Linked DNA regions of Sus scrofa. The protein of the gene in region 2 binds, or shares a complex with, the protein of the main gene of each other region. Links are inferred from orthologs where the notes say so. Each region holds a gene or a part of one and is shown on either strand. Other genes may lie near its edges. The genes, in order: NCS1, NMT1, AIFM3 and HPCA.

Region 1 (3,644 bases), on a different chromosome or scaffold from region 2:
GGAACCTCCATAAGCCGTGGGTGCAGCCCTAAAAAGACAAAAAAAAAAAAAAAAGAAGGCTTTCTTAACCTGGGGTCTTTGGATAGAATTCAGCAGGTCTGTGAACTAAAATAGGGAAAAAGGAGGTCTTTCTTTTCACTAACATCTAACTGAAATTTAGCGCTTCCTTCCATAATGAATCTAGGTGACAATCCCCCATGGAACCAGAAGTACCTGTGACTTTGTCAGCTGTGGAGATCACAGCATTTTTGTAACACATCACAGCTGCTGCAAAGCATCAAGAAGACAGATCAGCACTTTGAAATTCGGGCTGGTTAAACCCACCACTCAACCTTATCAGCCACCGTTGTGGCTCAGTGGTTAACGAATCTGACTAGGAACCATGAGGTTGTGGGTTCGATCCCTGGCCTCGCTCAGTGGGTTAAGGACCCAGCGTTGCCGTGAGCTGTGGTGCAGGTAGCAGATGTGGCTCGGATCCCTTGTTTCTGTGGCTGTGGTGTAGGCTGGCAGCTACAGCTCCGATTAGACCCCTAGCCTGGGAACCTCCATATGCCGCAGGTGCGGCCCTAAAAAGACAAAAAAAAGGGAGTTCCCGTCATCGTGGTGCAGCGGAAACGAATCCGACTAGGAACCATGAGGTTGCAGGTTCAATCCCTGGCCTCTCTCAGTGGGTTACGGATCTGGCGTTGCCATGAGCTGTGGTGTAGGTCGAAGACACAGTTCGGATCTGGCGTTGCTGTGGCTGTGGTGTAGGCCAGCGGCTACAGCTCTGATTAGACCCCAGCCTGGGAACCTCCACATGCCGCGGATGCGGCCCTAAAAAGACAAAAGAAAAAAAAAAAAGAAGAAGCAGCTCATATAAAACCACATCACAAATACTTTTTAAAAAATATTTTGAGGCATTCTCTTGTGGCACAGAAGGTTAAGGATCTGGTGGTGTCACTGCAGCAGCTCAGGTCACTGCTATGGTACCGGTTCAATCCCAGGCCCGGGAACTTTCACATGCCACAGGTGTGGCCAAAAAAAATGGGATAAGTCTCTTCCAAAATAGCTTTCTTTTTGACCCTACGAATGTTATCTGATGCACTTAAAAACATTCTGAGACAGCTTCTCCAGAATGTCAAAGGGGTCTGTGGCAAAAACTGAAAAGGTTAAGAAGCTGAGTTAAGGAAAAAGGGTTGGACGAACTGACTTAAAACCCTGCATGTCTGCGGGCTGGACCAGTGGCCATCACACCAGGGGTCTCACCTTGTCCATCATGGCAAAGATCCGGTCCACCCTTTTCTCGGGGGTGTTCTCCTCCTCTGGCAGCTCCACGGTGTTGCCCTGTCGGGGACAGGCGAGGTGGGGCCGGCTCCTGGCCCTCTGCCCTCTGGGCCCTTGGCCCCCAACCATGCCCCCCAGACCTGAACTGGTTCCAGGTGAAGACTGCGTCTCCCTCCCACTCCCTGCCGTGCCCCCATCCGCCCTCTGCTCTGGACCAGCCCCATCAGCAGCCCCCGCCCTCCCCCAAGAGGCACAGAGCAACCCCAGGCAGTGACCCTCACTTGCCAGCTCCCACCCCAGGCAGGAGGGCGGCCGCGTGGGGATGCCGCCTCTGGGCCAGGCCCCATCGCTGAGTTTGATGCCCTGCTGCTGCCCCCACCCCCACACCCCCAGGGCCCAGGCCTCTCACCACCATCTGGTAAATGGCATCCACAATGTCCAGCATCTCGTTCCTGGTGATGTAGCCGTCGTTATCCAAGTCGTAGAGCTTGAAGGCCCCTGCAGTCAAGCAGCCAGGGCGAGTGAGCCCTGATCCGGGGCTGGGCTGGCGGCCGCTCCCCCTCCCCTCGGCACCCCGCCAACAGCCCCGTTATTCATCCCGCCAAGACAGACAGGGGACACACACACACACCATGTCACCTAGTTACTGAAAAAGCGTAAATGTAAAAAGGAGGGGGCAGAGCTCTCTTGTGGTGCAGCGGGTTAAGGATCTGGCCTTGTCACTGCAGCAGCTTGGGTCACTGCTGTGGTGCAGGTTCGATCCCTGGCCTGGGAACTTTCATAGGCCGCAGGCACAGCCAAAACATAAACCGAGGGGGCTGGGTCTGTAAGAGCTGAGGCCTCGGAGGCTGATGCTGAGAGACAGAAGGGAGCCCAGGAGCAGCCCTAAAGCCACCCCTCTCCTTCCCCACCCCTGCCTCTGCCTCCTCTCGGCCCACCCCCTTTCCACAACTATGCTGGATCCAGCTAGGGTCAACTTGGAAAAGAAAATAATATGCCTAGGGAGGGGGGAGGAGCTTTGGCATAAATAAAATCCTCTTTTATTCCTAAAAAGAGAAAGAAAGAAATTGCAGTGCTTTCTCGGTGCCGATGCGATGCGGTGAAGTTGTCTCAGTGGGAAGTGAATCCCGGCCCAGCTGCTTTCATCTTCCTGCTAGATCCCCTCTCGCGCCAGCACGGGTGCAGCCTCTCCCCCAGTAGCCTTCTCTCGACCCTCCTCAGGCCTCGCACATGCTGATCCCCTGCCTGGAACCCTCTTCCCGCCCCCCGACCCCCTGCCAGCTTCACCCTTCCCAGCTCGGCTCCCAACTCATAACAGGGTCAGTTCCTCTCTGATCGGCTCACACCTCCCTCTTCCAGCCCCGGCTGCAGTTTTATGGGCTCTTTTGGATAAAGTCCCTGAGCTACAGGGACAGCCACGAGAGCAGGTGCCCCTCGATCTCATACACCTGTGGATTCCGGGCCTCCAGCCCAGCACAGACATGAGGCCACGTTAGGTCAATAACTGTTAGGTGAACCAGTAAATGGACACACGCCGTCAGTCATCCAAACAGCCTCCCGAGTGCTGGATCCAGCCCTGGAACCGGGTCTGAACCGCACGCTGCCCGGCGCCAGGTGCACCTTCGAGAATGCCCTGTGCTCCTGCCCCATCTGTCCACCCGCCTGGCCGCCTCCAGGAAACCACCTCCGACCTGGAAGGGCAGGACGTCTGTGCCACCCTCAGTCCTGGACAGACGGCCTGGCCCAGAGATTTGGCCTCCCTCCAGCCCAGGACGACCCAGCGGCCGCCCGACGGAGCCCAGCGGGCAGGACTTACACCGCAGCTTCTCGTCCAGGGTTCCCCTCGAGGTCACCGACAGCGCCTGGATGAACTCGGAGAACTCAATCCGCCCGTCCTGCGGCAGGGAGAGAGGGATGGGGGTAAATGCTGAGCTGCCCGGTCAGGACGCACCTTGGGCAGGTGGTGATGGGCAGAAGCAGGTAGCTAAGCAGACGCAGGGGTGAGGGATGGGGAAGGAGGGGGAGGGGAGGGCCAGAAATGGGACCGACCAGGCAGGAGGGACAGGGTAAGGCCAGAGGGAGAGCTTGACTCCACATCTGGCGGGAGGAAGAGGCACCCCCAGCGCCCGTGACCCTCTCTGGGCAGGAGCCGCCCAGAATCCCCTCTCTCAGACCCTTGGCCTTGAACCACAGGCACAGAGGCTTTAGAAGGTGGGGCTCTGGACTGTCCGATCCTATTTGTTTTGCCGATAAGGAAACTGAGGCTTGGAGAGGACAGAGTTCTTCCCAGGGCCAGGCAGGGTGGCCGTCAGCAGGGGCCACCTGCGGAGAAAGCCAGGGCGTGACCGAGTAGAAACAACCCACACGCCCAACAACAC
Region 2 (3,644 bases):
ATATAATATATATATCCTTTTATTATTCACCCGTTAACTCCATAATATGCCAATCACGAGCTAGTTTCAGCAGTTACATTCCCTTGATCACGGCTGCATAACGTGTGATTAATTGGAAAAGAGGGAGACCAGAGACACGGCCAGAGGTGACATCACGCAGCCTACGCCATTGCAATACAATTGTCAAGTTCAGTGGCGGTTTGGTAAAGCCGGTTCAGTTCTGCTCCCCTTGCCAGGGATTCTCACGTTTGTGAAAAGTGGACCAACAAGTGGTGGGGTTCCATTTCTCAGTGGCTTTATCCAGAATCTCACTGGCAACTGATTACTGTAACACCAGCCCAACCTAGGAGAGCCAAGGGGGAAAGGCAGAGATGTGACAATTGTCCCAAGACTGTCCCACTTCCCTGCCCAGACCTGAAGTTCCAATGACGGAGCAGCAGCACGGCCCCGTGCTGTGGGAGCAGACTCCCGGTGGCCCCGGGCTCGCACACAACCTCTGTGGTGCTTTAGATGTAAAGCTGCCATCGGCATCCTGAGAAGCACCGGTCACAGGCCTCCCCCAGCTCATGGGCCAGTTATCCTATAAATGCTGATGACCCCGTGGCCCTGAGCTGCCCTTCGGAGCCGGTGGAGGGAGGCCATGCAGGATGGGGGCGGCAGAGGAGAAACCCCTCGGCTCCTCAGACTCTCCCTTCCTGGCTAATTGTGGGCACAAGACTCAGGTACTGTCTCAGGATGGTGGCCGAAGGCCCAGCCTTGTCAGATGAGGCGGCTCACCTGGTGGGCAGAGAGGCTGGTGACAAGCTCCCTGCTTCCTGTGGCTCCAGGGCCTGTGCCCTCTGCCCCCGTCACAGCAGCGGCTGGAAGGGGACACTGACCCTGTTGGTCTGGCCTCCAGAGGGAGGGCCCCACGGATGCTGGATCCCTGCCCCGAGGCCCGTCTGCATGGCAGACGCCAACTCCCTGCCCAGGGCGCGCGGCCGGCACGTACCTTCTCCGCCCCCATGCTGGGGCACTTCCAATTGTAAAGGTAATACTGCAGGTTGCCGTCCCCTATGCCGAACTTGAGCTTCTCCAGGAAGGTTTTGTTCTCCATGAGATCCAGTGCATTGAACACGTCAAACCCTTTCTGTGCGGCGGCGTCAGGGAGAAACAAGACCAGGTGAAGACAGCAGAGCTGCCGCCCCTGTGGGCCCTCTTCTATCACAGCCGAACCGAACCGAGCCGGCGGCCTCGGGAGCCACCCTCCTTCAGCAGCGCCTGCCGCGTCCCTGTTTCAGCCCGACTCCAGCCAGGGCCTCACTCGCTGGTGGCGGTTCTCATGACACTCTGAGCGCCACCTTACCTGGCCTCTCCTCAGTGTCCCTCTGAGTGCACACTTGTGTACTCAGTATCCAGGCTGTGCTCCCACTGTTCCTTGTCACGCCTCCCTGAAACACTCTGGTAATTTCCAGTCTTTTCTGAACCTTTTCCTCTGAGAAGTGGACTCCTATGAGCCACGTGGCGTTTGCAAGGCTCCCTCACTCCCTGACACCCCAACTCCTCAGGATTTTATGACATCTGAAGCGCCACTCTGAGACTGAGGCTGACACTTCCTCAATCTCACCAACTCGACTGGAAGCTCTCCCAGGGCAGGGACTGGACTGTCACTGCTTGGCGGGCACACGGACAGGCTGGTGGCCTCTCCAGTGCAAAAGAGGCCTGGGTCCCACCCCTCTGCTCGACGGTCAGCTGCTCCAGTGACACCCCGCGACAGCCCAGCCTCCCCGGCCGGATGCTGGGGAAGCGTGAGGAGAACCCCTTTCCTCCCCCCCGAGCAGCGCCTCGAGTGAGAATGAAACCCATGAAAGAAATCCGGAGGTTCAGGTTCAATGCCTGCCTGTGGTGGGGGTGTCCTTGCTCCCTCCTAGTTCTGAGCTGCAGGCTGAAAATGGCTGGGCTGTTCCCTACCGGAGCAGAAGGGCGAGGAGGCCTCCAGGCCTCCAGGCCCCCAGCCAGGGGGCAGCCACCTGCCAGTGGCGCTCCCACCGCCCCACTGCCGCTGCCCGCCCGTCTGCTGCTCACCATTTTGGCAAGAACAAGGGCGTCGCTCATGAGGTCTAGAAGCGGGGTCTGGGTGTGAACGTTGTAGAAAGAATAAGCAGCCTTTAGACTCTTGTGGGTCGGATGGTTCATGATGGTGGAGGGAAGTGTGTAAAAGCTCAGGAAATCTGTCACCTCACCACTTGCATTCTGAAGGGGAGACAACAGAGGAAGGCAGGTCACACACACGAAGGGCCCTGCAGCCTGGGAACAAAGTGGCTCCTGCTGCACTCGCCACCCTCGGGCAGCCCTGCCCCTCTAAGTGAACGGGCAGGAACGGAACCAGCGGAAACCCAGGGGCAGAAAGCGCATCGACCTGAGGACAGACCGGGAGGAAAATCCAGGTCGCGCCACGGGCCCCCAGACACCTGGCCGGCACCAGGCCAAGCGGGGACAGGCAGGGGGTCGAGGGCTCGCCTGACCACCTGACTCAGAGGGGCGCGGGAGACAGGGGCTCACGCCAGGCCCGGAGTCTCATTTTAGAAAAGGCAGGCGACAACTTCCCGTCAGGGCGTCTCAGGTGCCAACGCTCCATCACCTGCTCTTCAGTCCCGAGCCCGGGAAGCCGGCCACTTCGGGAGGACACCCCCCACAAGCTGGGAGGGGGCCCCCGAACACCCCACCACCACTTGCCTCCACCACGAAAGTATCGATGATATTCTCCTGGGGGTAGAACCAGTGCTCCACCTCCTCCTGGCTCATGACCGGCGTGAGGTGGAACTGCCTCAGGTACCGCGTGAGGAGCTGGTGCACTACTGGAATGTCCTTCTTCTCCATTGGTCGTAGCCCAGCTGTCTTGGGAGTCTGGAAGGAAGAAACCAGAGAGCATCAGCCATGCTGACTGTGGGCGCCTCGGCTCCCTCTCGAGTCCCTCAGGAACCGAAAACCTCACGCTGTCTCCCTTCCTACCCCAACCCCCAATCTATCCACCCACGCCTTCAAGAGAGAATCCCCATCCACCGTCCACGGCTGCTCAGGCACCAGTCCTGTCTCTGCAGGGTCACTGGCCCTTCCGGCCGTGACCAAGGCTGGATCCTTGGCTAAGGCCGCTATGTCAATCTCTTATCCACATGGGCCCGGCCGCGTTCCTGGGAAAAAACAACCCATCACACGCCTCCCTGTTCCAAACTCCCCAACACAGAGCACAAGACGTCCACCCTCAGAGTTCCCGTTGTGGCTCAGCAGTTAACAAATCTGACTAGCATCCGTAAGGACGCAGGTTCGATCCCTGGCCTCGCTCAGTGGGTTAAGGACCCGGCCTTGCCGTGAGCTATGGTGTAGGTCGCAAACGCAGCTAGGATCCTGCATTGCTGTGGCCGTGGTGTAGGCCGGCAGCTGTAGCTCTGATTCGACCCCTAGCCTGGGAACCTCCATGTGACGCACCTTCGGCCCCAAAAAAACAAAACAAAAAGAGACTTCCACTCTCTGGACCAGTTGGCTGTTCTGGCTGTGATCTTCCGTCTCTCTAGCCCTGTGGTTCTCAACGGGGGCGATTCTGCCTCCCAGGAGACGATATTCAGAGACATTTTGGTTGTCACAACTGGGGGGAGGGGTGTACTGGC
Region 3 (4,268 bases), on a different chromosome or scaffold from region 2:
CAGATTAGGACTGAAACTGCATTGGAGACCCTGCAGCCTTGGCCAGCTGGCCAGCCAGGACCTACATCTCTGCCCTGCCTCTCAGTAGCAGTGTGGCTTTGCAGAGTCTCTAACTTCTCTGAACCTCAGTTTCCACATCTGTGAAATGAAGATGGTACTGAGAACCTTCCTCCTTGGCTGTTGTGAAGATCAGAGGAAGAAGTGCAAGCTAAGCCACAGCCATGGTTATTTATGGGGCACACTGCATTCCTGACTAGGGGGCTGTTGGAGGTGGGTAGGGCTGCAAGGTCAGCACACGTGTGGAGCAGGGACAGGCTCTTTGGAGGCCAAGGCCACCAGGCTCAAGCAACACCATCTGCCCAGTGACAGCAGGACTCCTGTGACCGTGGCAACAATCTTGCTATGGAAACCTAACATGGCCTCAGAGGGATGGATTGAGCAGAGCTGCCTGTCCCTCCAGGCCTCGCCCCACACCCACCTGCAGCGTGTGACCCACGTAGACCCTGTTCCTGCCCCTGGTGTGATTCAGCCTCCCTGAGATTCCCCTTCTGTAAAATGAGGGCAGTTGTACTTGCCCCCTGGGCTGCCACGGAGGCTGGTCAGCCTGGCACAGGGGACTGTTGCTACTGTCCTTGTCGTCCTTACCTAAGGGGAGCAAGGCCCAGAAAGGGGGAGATGGCAAAGCTAACAAAGGAGCAATGATGACAGGACAACAGTTGGTGGCCCCATGTGCTTAGTGCTGGATGAACCACCATGTCCTGGAACACTTGCTTCTTTCATCTCCCACATGGTCACTGAAACCCGGTTTGCTGGAGAGACAAACCCTACCTGAGTTCAGCGCAGAGATCTGGACAGCATAAGGAAACCTGAGGGGCCAGGAGCCAAGCAGCAGGGCTGAGACAGTCTTGGAAGGCTGCTGGAAGAGTTTCTTGGAGGAGGGGACACAACTCCCAATGCACCATTGTAATTTATGAATATAACGTTCTCCTGGTATAATGACAAGTGGGAAAGAGAAAATGTAACCAAATATAAAGTAGAACGTTCTGCGTGTGGACAGAGCAGAGGGGAGGACAGCTGGCCAGGGTGTCTTGGGCCGTCAGGAGCTGTTTGGTTTTTCTTTCTTGGGGAGGTTTCTGCGGGTGATTCAACTTGCCCCACACCGCCCGCAGACGTTCTGAGAATTGGGAAAGAAAGAAAAGGAAAAAGACTGGAGCTCGGCCCAGCATGGCACCCCTTGGGGTCGCGAAGATGCCGGCGACCCAGACCCGTCCGGGCGCCTGCGGCCTTCCCCCGCCCCCGCCCCGCCCAGCGTCCCGCCCGGGCGCCCCATTTGCACCGGTCGCCGGGCCGCAGTGTCGCCGCAGCGCCGGCCCCGCCCCGCCGCGGCCCCAGCGGCTCCGGAGCGGACGCCCGCGCCGAGCGCAGGTGAGCCCGCGGGTCCGCCCGGGCCGGCACCCGCCCCGCCCCGCGCCCCGGGCTGGCCCGTGGGGGACTGGGGGGCGGCCGCCCGGAGGGGAAGGGCGGCCCGGGCGCCCCCTTCCTTCTCCCCTCCCCCGCCGTGCCGCCCGCTCGCCGCGGGGCCCTACTGTGTGCCAGTCGCCTTCCTGGGCTGCCCGGCGGGTCCGGGAACCTGGCCGGAGCGGGAAGATGGCTGGCAAGGGCTTCGGGGAGCAGGGCTACGCGCAAAGGCGGGAGACTTGCCCTGAGCCCCGAGGGGTAGGAGGGAAGGGCCGCAGCCCTCAGGACGCCGGGAGCCACTGAGGGCGGGAGCGGCAGGAAGGAACCCCTCAGGGTGCGCCTGAGAAGGGCCCAGGGATCCCCGGAGAAGAGCAAGTCCGGGGCTGAGAGGGGAGCAGTTTTGCCCCACCGGCACCGCTGGGCCCTGGGACTGGTCCAGGGACAAGACGCCGGCTCCTGGTAGGTAGTTAGCACTGTTATAGCTTTTTGGCTTTGGGTAGTGTGTGGACAAGGGACAGCACTCCAGAAACTTGGGGTACCCTCTCCTGGTGCCCCTGGCCAGGACCTTTGCCTTGAGTAGGGACATCTGGAGGTAGGAGGCTCCATGCCAGCCTGGCACTCAGTAGGCCTGGAGGTTTAGTCCCTCAGTAGGCCCAAGACCCTGGAGGGAAGACACCTGGTCCCCAGGAAAGGGAGGGAGCCGCATGCACAGGCACCTGGTGGCAAATTGAAGTCCCACTTTTTCTGGAATCTGTGGCCCAACAGTGAGGCCTGAGGCCAGGCACGAAGGTGGCAGGCAGGGCAGAGGCAAAGGGACAGCCAGGATCTGGGGAGGGGCACCCTCATGCCAGGGAGGAGCAGGTGGGGCAGGTGGTGGCTCAGTTTTACAGACCTGCCTTGGGGGAAGGAGCATGGGTGCGCCCAGGTGGCCTTCAGTTGACACTGCCTCCTCACCTGTGATGGCCCTCCAGGGCAGGTGACACCAGGGGCCAGGCAATAGACAAGCCTTCTCCAGCCTTTCCTCCCTCTTGGCTCCCTGCTCTCAGACACCCACCCAGGCCCTTGAAGAAATCTGGAGAAGACCAGGTGGGCCTCAGCCTGCCGAGGTCATGTAAACAAGGCAGCTACGCCTTTGTCCTGGGCCTTCCAAAGTCCAGTGTGGAAGCTGCATCTTCCAGAAGGCCCACCCTGTGGCCTTGAGAGGTCCTTGGCTGCGGGGCTTCCTTTGTTGACAGGGTGGCCTCTTCCCCAGCCCCATGGCTTGAGGGAACAAACTAAGATGGGAGGGGTTGGAAGGCCACCTGGATGCCCCTACCTGCTGCTTGACCTTGGCAAGCCCTTGGCCCCTCGGTTTCCTGGGCATGACCTCAACACCAGGGGCATTTGTGAAGAGCAGAGGAGTAGGGTAGAAGCCAGGGCTGTGTGCCAGGCCTCCTTTTCCCCCAAGCCCATCAGGCCCCGGGCTGGCTGCCCACTTCTGTTCACATGGAGCTGGGTTTCCCTGGGGACCAGTGGCAGGGCCCAGCCCCGCCCCCAGCCCCTCCTGGCCACAGCTCACACTGGGAGGAGGGGTGGAGGCTGAGCTGCCTGGTCTCCTGGACCCCTGCCCCCTTGCCCTGCCTTCCAGGGCCGGGCAGCTTGGTCTACCGTGGGGCTGGGAACGAGAAGCAGTGGCTGTCCTTGGAGGAGGTGGGTATCAGGGCTGACAGCCAGGGTGGGGCCAGGGCCAGGGAGAACTAAATGTCACCCCTATGGAGGAGGAACCTACAGGATCCCTAGGATCAAGAAGGCTCTGGTCTGCCAAACTGACCCAGGCTGGACCCCAGGCATGTGGCCTCCCTGGAGAGGGGAGAGTCCTAGAGTGCCTAGACCACAGGCTTTTAGAGGGCAGCAGAGGTGGGCAGATTTCCTGGACCTAAAGGGCAGCTGAGGTTGGAGCAGAGGGGCCCAGGCAAAGGGGGAAGGGAGGGAGGGTGCTGAGCTTAGGGGGCCTGGAAGCGGGGTTTCCTCTGGGACCCGGCTCCCCTACACACCAGGGTCCCAGCTCCTAGGCAGGCCTCTTTCAGAAGTCCCCCACTCTCTTTCTGTGCCTCTGCCCTCAGGCCTCATCAAAGCCCTCCTCCCCATAGATGCTGTCTCCCCGCAGGTCCTCGAAGCAGCTCCGACCTCTCTAAGGGCCTCAGAAGGTCCTGCCCCCTGGGGCACCCTAGGCCTCCCACGGCCCACCACCTCTGCACCTGCCCTACCCACAGGCCACTCGCCATGGGCGGCTGCTTCTCCAAGCCCAAGCCAGGTACCTCCTTTCTTCTTCCTCCTCCCCCTCCTGCCACCGTCCTCCTCTCCCTCCCCCTCTGTCTCCAAAGTAGGTCAGGCTGGGCAGGCAGCAGCTCCCTCCGAATGTTAACACTAAGGGCAGGCGTGGGGTGAGGGGGCAGTCACTGAAGCCCTCTTTCTCTGGGGCTTAGGGTGCTGGTGGTGGAAATAACAGCAAAATCTTTCTCAGAAAGGGGAGACGTGTTCCTCCTGCTGCTGAGTGGGGGCAGAAGATGCTGTCTCCCTCAGGGTGGGGGAGGGTGGCTCTGGGGACACTGTGAGCCCCTGTGTGACCAGAGCATGTATTACCCCTCTGAGCCTCCTCCCCCTCAAAAGAAGCCTGAGTTCTCAAAATTGCCGTGAGGTGGAGGGGGGGATATGTCCTGGCCCTTTTCACCTCTCCTGCCCACCTGTGTGACCTTGGGCTGCCTCCTTAGCCTCTCTGGACACTCCCCCACCCAGAAAGGAACACCCCACACTGCCGAGCACCAGGGTGC
Region 4 (2,883 bases), on a different chromosome or scaffold from region 2:
CAGCTGGGGGGCTGGAATCAGGAGATTTTCCTTTTGCATCACAGCCTCCAAGCCAACAAGGGCAGGAGCAGGCAGGGTTGGGGCCCTCCTGGGAGGAAGGATGGCTCAAGGAAGGTTTTTCCTCAAACCCCCACACATCTAGAATCTTTCTCTCGGCTCCAAATAAAGAACACGCTCCTTACCTGGGTATGATTCCCAATTCCACCAAGGCTGAGATCTACCAGGGTGGGGGTAGACGTGAGGGAGCTTGCCCCATGGCTGGGGAAGGGAAGTCTGGCCTCATGGCTGGTGGGGGCGAGGGAGAGGCTGGAGTTCTGGTATCTAGGTAAGGGAGGGTGGACTCCGAGGGGCAGACCAAGCCAGAGCCTGTGTCTATCAGTGCCAAGGGAGAGACTGACTCTTGAACTGGGCGTTGCTAACCACCGGCTTGCTTGGACGTTGAGGGGACTGCAGGATTCCTTTCTCCGTAGGCTTCCCAGAGGGCAGACCCTGGGGCTGGCAATCTGACCCCAGCCTGGAATAGACACAAGGGCGAGGAAGCTGAGAGCCGGGAGAGGGCCAGTGACGGCGGGGAGGGGAAACCCGGCTCCTCTTGCTCAGAACTGGGAGGCGCTGCTGGGGTCGCACTGCAGCAGACGCACGATGGACGGGTCGCTTTTGGCCCCGCGGATGAACTCCTCCAGGGACAGCTTGCCTGCGAGACAAGGGGCGCAATGATGGGGGAGAAGGCGGCAGCAAAGAGAGGGGACGCAGAGCAGGACCGCAGAAGAGGAAGGGGGAGTGGCGCCCGCCCCGCCCCGGCCTCCTCACCGTCGTTGTTTGTATCCATTTGGCGGAAGATTTTCTCCGTCCTCTTTTCCGGGGTCGACTCGTCCTCTGGCATCTTCATCACGGAAGAAACCATCTTGTAAATGGCCTAGGGGTTGGGTGGGGAAGGCAGGGAGTGAGGGGAGCCTGCCTGAACCCTCCACCCCCAACTTTGCAAAACGCCTCCAGCTGTGCCGACGATCGCTGCTCCCGCCGTGGTGAGGCGGAGGGGGGGTGACGGAGGCGTGGGTAACTGGGGAAGGAGTGACTGGGATGGCTTCCCAGAAGAGGGGGCTCTTGGAGCTGGCCCGGACCAAGTTTCCTCGGGGCACTCGGTGGGAAAGGGATTGCTGGCAGAGAGATCTGCGTGTACAAAGGCCCCGAAGCGGGAAGCTCTGAGTGGGCGCTGGGAATTTGGAGGTGGCTGAATGCAGGCGGTCAGGAGAAATGCTGGAGGACATCGGGGCCCAGATGGCGAAGGGCCTGGCACCCAGGACTTAGGAGCTCTTGCCAAGCGCCACAAGTACCGGGTTAAGTACCAGGTTCGAAGAACTACTCTGAAATTCCAGGGCTCCAGGAAAAGGCCCGCACTCGATGGCCGACAGGGGGCGCTGGTCAAGGTGGGGGTGGTGGCACTGGGCTGCGATGCCACTCTGGCCAGCAGGGGGCGCAGGGTCGCCCTGAGGGCTGGGGGCCTGAGGCTGCTGGGCCCACGGGGAGCGGGGATATAACGCAAATAAACGCATAGGCGCATCTGCTGGGGGCGAGGAGAGCTTGGGCTGTGCTGGGCCCAGGACCGCAGCTGCCAGGTGCAGGAGCTCTGGAGGCGACTCAAAGGAGGGATTTTCGCGGTAAGTGTACACCGAGCACGTAGGGCTTGGTCTGTGGGCTGGGTCCTGGGGCCCAGAGCTCAAGGACCAGACCGGTCATCTCACTCTACCAGCTTTTTACTACTGAAACCTCCAAGAAGTCTGCCTTCTTCTCCTGTCCCATAAACTTCCCTAGCCTCAGATTCGGCTTTGGCCTCCCGCAGTGGTCTCTTCTGGCCTCTCTCCCTCGGGTCTGTTCCCTACGCTGCCTCTGAAAGCGTTTCCCAAACGCAGATCTCCATCAGCAAGTCCCTAGCCCAGGGGCCGCCCCCTCGTTCCCATCTTACACAGGCCTCCCTCCAGGACTGCCTTGCACCCGGCTCCTTCTGGATGCTGCCCCACGCTCCTTCTGCTGCCTCCCACTCCTCCTTGGGGCTCTCTTTACATGGTGCTTTGTTAGGGAGGCCTCCTCTGATCCAGGGTGGGTCAGGGCCCATACGCTGCCCCAGAGTCCCCTTTGGAGACGCCTCGCCGAAGAAATTATGCCTTTGTAGGAGTGCTCCTTGCCCCCAGCATACAGATGAGAACCGTGGACATCTAGCTAGTGCTCAGATCCCCAGAACGTAGGCACAGTGCCTGGCATCTGGCAGGGACTCCCTTGTTTAAAAGCTGTTGGCACCTCCCACTGCCTTCCTTTACCAAGTCCAAACATTTGGCCCTTGGCATTCAAGGCACTTCACACTCTGGTCCCTGCTGACCTCTCCATCAGGCCTCCCCCCGTAAGTGATTTTGCCACAACCAGACACCCCTGTGCCTTTCAGGATTCCCAGCATTTACAGTTTCTGCCTGGAACAATAACACTAGCTACCATTTACAGACCCCTACTATGTGCAAGGGACTTAACATGCATTATTCTCATGCTTGCAACAGCTCTGAAAAGCAGGTATTGAGATCGAGACAAGAAACTGAGGCTCAGAAAGAGAATTGATGACAGAGACCAGATTAGAACCTGCTTCCTCTTAGCGGCTGGTTAGGTGCTTGTGGGATGCTGATGACCCCTCCAAGCAGTGTGTTTGAAGTAAGGCGGACAAGGAGTGGCATCCTGATTCCGCTAATCACTTGCTGTGTAGCCTTGGGCAAGTACTTAACCTCAATTTCCTCATCTGTAAAATGGGGCAATCCTAACTCCCTTATCAGGATATATAGAGTATTAGACTATCCTGATAAGGGAGTTAGGGTTGGATAGTTGGCAAGACTAGGTGGTCAG

Evidence for each region.
Region 1: the proteins of NMT1 (region 2) and NCS1 are in contact, whole or in part, in a crystal structure (PDB 5O9S), measured with the Homo sapiens proteins. The link is inferred for Sus scrofa from reciprocal best matches to the Homo sapiens genes NMT1 and NCS1. Residues at the interface, in NP_066565.1 of Homo sapiens: Tyr180, Val181, Glu182, Asp183, Asp184, Asp185, Met187, Phe188, Arg189, Phe190, Tyr192, Asn246, Thr282, Ala283, Gly284, Arg295, Tyr296, His298, Ser300, Lys310, Phe311, Ser312, Tyr401, Leu403, Ser405, Tyr420, Gly468, Ile469, Gly470, Asp471; in NP_055101.2 of Homo sapiens: Gly2, Lys3, Ser4, Asn5, Ser6, Lys7, Leu8, Lys9.
Region 3: the proteins of NMT1 (region 2) and AIFM3 are in contact, whole or in part, in a crystal structure (PDB 6SJZ), measured with the Homo sapiens proteins. The link is inferred for Sus scrofa from reciprocal best matches to the Homo sapiens genes NMT1 and AIFM3. Residues at the interface, in NP_066565.1 of Homo sapiens: Tyr180, Val181, Glu182, Asp183, Asp184, Asp185, Phe188, Arg189, Phe190, Asn246, Thr282, Ala283, Gly284, Tyr296, His298, Phe311, Tyr401, Ser405, Ile469, Gly470, Asp471, Asn473, Leu474, Leu495, Gln496; in NP_001373743.1 of Homo sapiens: Gly2, Cys4, Phe5, Ser6, Lys7, Pro8.
Region 4: the proteins of NMT1 (region 2) and HPCA are in contact, whole or in part, in a crystal structure (PDB 7OWM), measured with the Homo sapiens proteins. The link is inferred for Sus scrofa from reciprocal best matches to the Homo sapiens genes NMT1 and HPCA. Residues at the interface, in NP_066565.1 of Homo sapiens: Tyr180, Val181, Glu182, Asp183, Asp184, Asp185, Met187, Phe188, Arg189, Phe190, Tyr192, Ile245, Asn246, Phe247, Thr282, Ala283, Gly284, Tyr296, His298, Ser300, Lys310, Phe311, Ser312, His313, Tyr401, Leu403, Ser405, Tyr420, Gly468, Ile469; in NP_002134.2 of Homo sapiens: Gly2, Lys3, Gln4, Asn5, Ser6, Lys7, Leu8, Arg9.

Annotation. Positions count from the first base shown.
Region 1 is NC_010443.5:270,315,099-270,318,742, reverse strand, and holds part of NCS1 (neuronal calcium sensor 1), read right to left. Parts: intron 3,162-3,644; coding exon 3,083-3,161; intron 1,765-3,082; coding exon 1,676-1,764; intron 1,327-1,675; coding exon 1,249-1,326; intron 1-1,248. UniProt on the Homo sapiens protein: Neuronal calcium sensor, regulator of G protein-coupled receptor phosphorylation in a calcium dependent manner. Directly regulates GRK1 (RHOK), but not GRK2 to GRK5. Can substitute for calmodulin. Stimulates PI4KB kinase activity.
Region 2 is NC_010454.4:18,306,441-18,310,084, forward strand, and holds part of NMT1 (glycylpeptide N-tetradecanoyltransferase 1), read right to left. Parts: intron 2,887-3,644; coding exon 2,716-2,886; intron 2,233-2,715; coding exon 2,065-2,232; exon of another isoform or gene 1,130-2,064; coding exon 992-1,129; intron 344-991; coding exon 323-343; 3' UTR 1-322.
Region 3 is NC_010456.5:50,561,281-50,565,548, forward strand, and holds the start of AIFM3 (apoptosis-inducing factor 3), read left to right. Parts: upstream 1-1,330; 5' UTR 1,331-1,425; intron 1,426-1,601; exon of another isoform or gene 1,602-1,917; intron 1,918-3,085; exon of another isoform or gene 3,086-3,147; intron 3,148-3,587; exon of another isoform or gene 3,588-3,604; 5' UTR 3,605-3,720; coding exon 3,721-3,751; intron 3,752-4,268. UniProt on the Homo sapiens protein: Induces apoptosis through a caspase dependent pathway. Reduces mitochondrial membrane potential.
Region 4 is NC_010448.4:89,193,861-89,196,743, reverse strand, and holds the end of HPCA (neuron-specific calcium-binding protein hippocalcin), read right to left. Parts: intron 917-2,883; coding exon 811-916; intron 695-810; coding exon 597-694; downstream 1-596. UniProt on the Homo sapiens protein: Calcium-binding protein that may play a role in the regulation of voltage-dependent calcium channels. May also play a role in cyclic-nucleotide-mediated signaling through the regulation of adenylate and guanylate cyclases.